Linked DNA regions of Macaca mulatta. The protein of the gene in region 2 purifies or fractionates together with the protein of the main gene of each other region. This does not show direct contact. Links are inferred from orthologs where the notes say so. Each region holds a gene or a part of one and is shown on either strand. Other genes may lie near its edges.

What was found.
Region 1: the proteins of RAB1B (region 2) and GDI1 purify together in Homo sapiens (affinity purification with mass spectrometry; 3 studies listed by BioGRID and IntAct, counting the BioPlex papers as one, with this or other methods). This does not show direct contact. The link is inferred for Macaca mulatta from reciprocal best matches to the Homo sapiens genes RAB1B and GDI1.

What each region holds. Positions count from the first base shown.
Region 1 is NC_133426.1:160,623,133-160,625,627, forward strand, and holds part of GDI1 (rab GDP dissociation inhibitor alpha), read left to right. Parts: intron 1-307; coding exon 308-506; intron 507-773; coding exon 774-905; intron 906-1,786; coding exon 1,787-1,886; intron 1,887-2,310; coding exon 2,311-2,482; intron 2,483-2,495. UniProt on the Homo sapiens protein: Regulates the GDP/GTP exchange reaction of most Rab proteins by inhibiting the dissociation of GDP from them, and the subsequent binding of GTP to them. Promotes the dissociation of GDP-bound Rab proteins from the membrane and inhibits their activation.
Region 2 is NC_133419.1:8,145,509-8,149,941, forward strand, and holds the start of RAB1B (ras-related protein Rab-1B), read right to left. Parts: upstream 2,813-4,433; 5' UTR 2,719-2,812; coding exon 2,705-2,718; exon of another isoform or gene 1,856-2,704; intron 865-1,855; exon of another isoform or gene 1-864. UniProt on the Homo sapiens protein: The small GTPases Rab are key regulators of intracellular membrane trafficking, from the formation of transport vesicles to their fusion with membranes.

The DNA.
Region 1 (2,495 bases), on a different chromosome or scaffold from region 2:
CACTCCAGCCTGGGCGATAGAGTAAGACTCCATCTCAAAAAACAACAACAACAAAGAAAACTTGAGCCTTTGGCAGGGGCTCCACTGGATCCTCAAGACATCCCCAAGTGTCCAAGCCAGGAAAGCCCTTAGAGTCCATCCAGGCCAATCCCCTCTTCATCCTGGTGGGGAAACTGAGGCTAAAAAGGGTGGAGAGGTTAACCTAAGGTCACAGGACAGCTGGGCTGGGAGTGGGGGTGCCTGCCCTGCTGAGATGGAGAGTTTTGTGCTGCGTTGGTGCAGAACCTCCTCCCGCCACCTTCCTTAGATCTGATGGGTATGTTTGAGAAACGGCGCTTCCGCAAGTTCCTGGTGTTTGTGGCAAACTTCGATGAGAATGACCCCAAGACCTTTGAGGGTGTTGACCCCCAGACTACCAGCATGCGTGATGTCTACCGGAAGTTTGATCTGGGCCAGGATGTCATCGATTTCACTGGCCACGCCCTGGCACTCTACCGCACTGATGAGTGAGGGGAAGCTGGTGTGGCGGCAGCCCCCTCGCCCGGCCCACCTCCTGCCCTCCCCACACCTGCCTGTTGTCCCCCTGCCCTGCATGTTCCTTGTACTCAGCCATAGGCTCACCTATCACCCTTTCCATTTCCCCCTTGCATTTGATCCTCATCTTCCCCAGGCCATTCAGGGTGGTGGGAAGACTGGCCTGGTACCTGGTACCTGGGTGGGGGTAAGTCAGGGGTGCTGCTACTGGAGCGTCTTCCCTAACCCCTGTCCCCCAGCTACCTGGACCAGCCCTGTCTTGAGACCATCAACCGCATCAAGTTGTACAGTGAGTCCCTGGCCCGGTATGGCAAGAGCCCATATTTATACCCGCTCTACGGCCTGGGCGAGCTGCCCCAGGGTTTTGCAAGGTGAGGACGTGGGTTTTTTCAGTTGGCATGGCTGAGTAGGACTAGGGCCAGGAGTGGAGATGGCCCCCTTGAGCATTTCCCTGGTAGCATTTCCTCCTTTCCAATTCGTGATTTTCATTTACTTCACTCCATCCTTGGGTGATGAGGGCACAACCCCAGTGCACTGAAGTACAGAAGTCTCCACACTTGCCGGGCGCGGTGGCTCACGCCTGTAATCCCAGCACTTTGGGAGGCCGAGGCGGGCGGATCACAAGGTCAGGAGATCGAGACCACGGTGAAACCCCGTCTCTACTAAAAATACAAAAAATTAGCCGGGCGCGGTTGTGGGTGCCTGTAGTCCCAGCTACTCGGGAGGCTGAGGCAGGAGAATGGCGTGAACCCGGGAGGCGGAGCTTGCAGTGAGCCGAGATCGCGCCACTGCACTCCAGCCTGGGCGACAGAGCGAGACTCCGTCTCAAAAAAAAAAAAAAAAAAAGAAGTCTCCACACTTGAAGAACCAAGTTTCCACAAATGTGACTTGCTCAGTTCCCGGCAGCACCAGGACTGGGCCCAGGGCCCCAGAACCTTGAGTCAGGGCTTCGCTGGGAGGTGACCTATCTTGAGAGAGTCCATCCTGGTCCTTCAGGCTGTCTTGGTGCAGAGCACTGCTCCCTCATGCCCCCTTCTGCTGGTCCTTGGCAGTGTATTCTGGGCAGAAGAAGCTCCTGAGAGGAAAGAGCCCGCTGAGATGGGGCCAGAGTTCACGGCAGTGACACAGCTGGGATGAATCCCGGCGTCTCCTGCCTGCTGCCTTTTTTGCACCTTGGTGGAGGAAGGGTGACAGTGGAATTGGTCCCCGTTTCTCCTGGGAGGGGCCTTCACCAGGGCTGTTCTCACCACAGATTGAGTGCCATCTATGGGGGGACGTATATGCTGAACAAACCTGTGGATGACATCATCATGGAGAATGGCAAGGTGGTGGGCGTGAAATCTGAGGGAGAGGTGAGCCTTTCTGGTGCAGTGCAGTCACCATGGTTGAGGCAGGGCTTGGTCATCTTCTTTTCACTGTGCTGCCGGGTCTCCTGCTGCACAGCCCCGAGGGTCTTGGAGCTGGGAACTGGGCGTTCAGAAGTCTTCAGAGCCATGAATGTGGGTGAGGGGCTATTTCAGAGGCCACACGCCATGTCTGTAGTGCAGAAAGTGTACTTGATCACGGGGCATCTGGGAGGCGGGGGCGGGCACCCAGCCTATGGGTCAGGGCCCACCTCTGTGAGCTGCAGGGCAGGGCCATGCATTCAGGAGGGGCAGTAGTGATGGCTCCGAGGAGTGCCTTGTCTGCCAGAGCTGCCTGCCTTTGCTGTGAACACAGCCCCAAGACTACCTAAGGGAGTGATCTGACGGGCGAGGATTTCTGGTGCCTTCTCAGGTGGCCCGCTGCAAGCAGCTGATCTGTGACCCCAGCTACATCCCGGACCGTGTGCGGAAGGCTGGCCAGGTTATCCGCATTATCTGTATCCTTAGCCACCCCATCAAGAACACCAACGATGCCAACTCCTGCCAAATAATCATCCCCCAGAACCAGGTCAACAGGAAGTCAGGTAGGCCGGGTGC
Region 2 (4,433 bases):
CTAAAAGTGCTGGGATTACAGGGGTGAGCCTGGTCATCCTTTGGTTTAGAATACTATGGTGCTCACCAGATCTTCCCACCAGTCCCGGTCAGGGAGGGCTGATGCCCCCCTCCAGAAAAAGCTAGCCCAAAGGGCTCTCAGCTTGCTGAGTCTAAATTCTCACTTTATGGAGAAAGAAATCAAGACACAGAGAGGGACGTGACCTGCCAAGGCGACAGAGCTGGGTATCCTACCCTGATTTCTGAGACTTCATGGTTTGGTACAGTAGGGGCTATTTAGGGAATCCCCAGTACATGACCTGTGGTATGCCTGGCTTGGCAGGGGAGGCCCCAGAAGTAGAACCCAGGGCACAGTCTAGAACTTGTTAAGTGAAAAACCCATGTAAAGAGACTGATGGCCGGGTGCTGTGGGGTGTGCCTGTGGTCCCAGCTACTGGGGAGGGTGAAGCAGGAGGAGGATCCCTGGAGCCCAGGAGTACATGACCAGCCTGGGTGATGTAGCACGACCCTGTCTCTCTCTTTTTTTTTTTTTGAGACGGAGTCTTGCTCTGTCACCCAGGCTGGAGTGCAGTGGCCGGATCTCAGCTCACTGCAAGCTCCGCCTCCCGGGTTTACGCCATTCTCCTGCCTCAGCCTCCCGAGTAGCTGGGACTACAGGCGCCCGCCACCGCGCCCGGCTAGTTTTTTGTATTTTTAGTAGAGACGGGGTTTCACCGTGTTAGCCAGGATGGTCTCGATCTCCTGACCTCGAGATCCGCCCGCCTCGGCCTCCCAAAGTGCTGGGATTACAGGCTTGAGCCACCGCGCCCGGCCATCTCTCTTTTTTTTGAAATGGAGTCTCACTCTGTCACCAGGCTGGAGTGCAGTGGCACGATCTCGGCTCACTGCAACCTCCAACTCCCGGGTTCAAGTGATTCTCCCGCCTCAGCCTCCAGAGTAGCTGGGATTACAGGCACGTGCCATGACACTTGGCTAATTTTTGTATTTTTAGTAGAGATGGGGTTTCATCATGTTGGCCAGGATGGTCTCGATCTTCTGACCTCGTGATCCACCCGCCTCAGCCTCCCAAATTGCTGGGATTACAGGCGTAAGCCACCGCGCCCAGTCCACCCCATCTCTTTGGAAACAACAACAAAAAACCTGTTATGAAGTCACCAGGAAGAGGTGGTCAAGTTGCAATGAAAATTGCACTTAAGGCTGGGTGCAGTGGCTGACACCTGTAATCCCAACATTTTGGGAGCCCGAGCACAAGGATCATTTGAGCCCAAGAATTTGAGACCAGGCTGGGAAACAGATGGAGACCCTGTCTTTACAAAAAATTTAAAAATGTGCCAGATGTGGTGGTGTACCTCTGTATTCTCAGCTACTCAGGAGGACAAGGCAGGAGGAATGCTTGAGCCCAAGAGTTGGAGACTGCAGTGAGCCATGATCGTGCCACTGTACTCCAGCCTGGGTGACAGAGAGAGACCCTGTCTCAAAAAAAAAAAAAAAAAAAAAAAGGTAAAAGGTAATCACATTTAATAATATTAAGTTCCAACTTGTGACTGTGTGAAGTCACACAGTTGAGTTCCCTGTGTGAAGTACTTCAAATGCATCATCTCATTTAATCTTCACAACAGTCCAATGAAGTCAGTTTTATCATTGTCAACTAATGAGGAAACCAGAGGCCAGAGAAGGGAAGTGACTTGCCCTAACTTACACAGTTTTTCGCTTTAAGACTCAAACCAGGTTTGTCAGACTCCAAAGTCCCTGCGAGAGCCTGCTGGTTCCCTTCTCTGTTCCCCTCCCAATCCAGCTCAGAGCTTCACCCTTCCCCAAGGAAATCTGAGACCTGGATGTGGAGGAGAAAAAGGAAGTGGCAGAAGAGGAAGAAGATAACTGATACTTGGGGAAAACTATTAGTCCTGGGCATGAGATGTGGGCCACCTACCCGCAGAGGGAGTGACCAAGAGTGAGGAGAGTTTGAGGACCAGAGAATCCCGCTGGAAGGGGGAGAGCAAATTCCATATTCATCTAAACTTCACAAGCAGTGTGACAGCCAAGGGAAGGGGTGCGACGGTGGCGTTGGGGGCCTGAGCAAAAGCGAGGAGAGGGCGGGAAAGGACGGACCGTCGGGAGCGACAGGTCAGCGTAACCCAGGCAAAGGGTAGGAGGCAGCCCCGGAAGAGAGGACCTGCGGGAGACGGGACTCAAGCGGCGCTTCGGGGCCTCCCGCTTAGTTGGCCAGTTTCTGGGCCGGCCCCAGGAGCCGGGCTTCAGGAGAAAGAGAAGGGTAGAGGGATTCACTGCCCGACCTAAAGGGCCCGAGCCTGAACCCGAGACCAGAAACTATCTAAAGACGGGCTCCCAAACTCCAGGACAGTTGTCAAGCAGCAGGTGGGGAAACTGAGGCCTGAAGTGACCGGGACTGCGGGGTCATCTGACCGATAAGGCCTGGTAGGGCCGGTGTCTCGGGCTCCAAGAGCTGCCCCTCGGGGTCGCCACGTCTGGGCCCCGGGTGTGAGAGCTCGGGGTGTTGAGCCGGGGTCCTGGGGCCCCTGGGGGGAGGGGCAGAACCCGGATGTGAGGGGGGGGGGTCAGCGGAAGAGGGACCCGGATGTGGGGGCGCCGCACAGTCCTGACCCGGGCCAGACAACCCCGGTAAGCGTACAGCCCCGTATTCGGGATCGAGGCTGCGCTGGACGGCGCGGGCGGGGCTCACTCACTATTCGGGGTTCATGGCGGCGGCGGCGGCCCGCTCGGTCGCTCCCAGTCGGCTCTGCTCCGCCTCCCGTTCCAAGATGGTGGCCGCTCCGCCCCAGAGGCCCCGCCCGCGACGCGCAGGCGCAAACGTCCTCTTCTCAGGCCTCGCCGCGCTGGTTCTCGGAACTTGTAGTCTGAGACGTTCTCCAACTCAGCCCCGCTGCGCAGGCGTAGTCGGGGAGCCCGTGCCTCCGCGCCCACTCCCATCACTACTGGCGCATTGCCTTCTGGGGCTTGTAGTTTGCACGCCGGACGCACCTAGGCTTGAGCACGATGCTGGAAAGCCTGACGGCGTCTCGGTGTTTAAAAAGCTCAGTTTAGAGCTGGGCTTGGCACGTTTCACATCTGTCTGACGGAGACAGTCATCCTTACCCTCCCAATACCCACGTTGTGAACATTAAATGAGAATGTGGGATCTAGCAAGACTAGTAAAAGCTCACTTGTCCAGGGTTCCTCGTGTACTGGGCACTCCTAACTCGCAGCCGCGTGTCATCACCCGCATTTCATAGATGAAAAAACTGAGTATCGGGAAACTCACTCAAAGTCAAAAACTTTGTGAAGAGCAGAGCTCGTAAGAGCCCGCGGTCTCCAGAACCCCACAAGTGAACGTTTTAGGGAAAGCCTGACTTGTGGGGCCCCCACCCAGTTCCGGGGTGGGCCAGAATATCTGGGCCCAGCTGCGCGGACAGCGGTTGAGCGAGACACACTGTCCCCCACTCACGCGCGACCCTTCCCGGCTCCACCCGTTTAGAGACGCGGGGGCACCCCGACCTCCGCCTCAAAACAAGCCCGGCTCAGATTCAAACCGTCTTTATTTCTACAGCAACATCTGAAAATAGAGAGCAGCCGCCTCACCCGCAACAGGGGGAGCCCCTCCTGCCACCAAGGGACCGTCGCCGCCCCTCGCGAGAAGCTGCAGGCGTGGGGAGAGGCGTGGCAGGATGGCTCGGTGGGCGGTGCCCGGGGCGGGGTCGGGCCGTGCCTGGGCGGGGCCGGGCGGGAGGGGCAGTGCATAAGGCCGGGATGCGGGGCAGGGCCCGGCGGTGGGAGGACTGACTAAGGGGAGGTCCCCGTCCTGGGGCACGGGGCGATGGCGGGGTAGGACGCATCCCTCAGAGGCCAGGAGGAGCGCGAGAAGGTCCCGGGAGCCACTTAGGAGGCGCCACTCCCGAGAATGTGGAGCCTGGGAGATACCACCGCACGGAATGGGGGTGATTAAGGCCTGGGCGGTACCACTAGAGGAGGGACGAGGGGAGGCCCGGGTAGTACCGTGGACTGAAGGGTGGGGCGCGGCCAATAACTTATTTCTCTATATACAGAAGCAACGGCCGGGTTGAGTTGGGAGGGAGGGCGAAGGTGCCGAAGGGCCGGCGAGTGCTTAGTGTTCTTGGCTCTGGGGTCTGGGGAGGCCAGGCCACTGAGTCTATGGTGGAGACTCCAGCCGGCACCTCCTGCTGGCCCCGAACCTAAGGAAGAGGGCCCTGCTGGAAGGAATAAATAAGGGATCGAGCTGGAGTGGGCAGGCCCAGCCTCCAGGGCTCAGGCTGAGATGACAAGGGAGAAGGTTACCCTGAGATTGAACAGAAAAGACAGGGGCTGTGGGAGAGACAGGCGGGACAAGCAGCAGGCCCATGCGCAGGGCTGGGGTGAGGGGGGTGTGCCAGGTGGGCGCTCTGGTGACTGGCTGCCCCT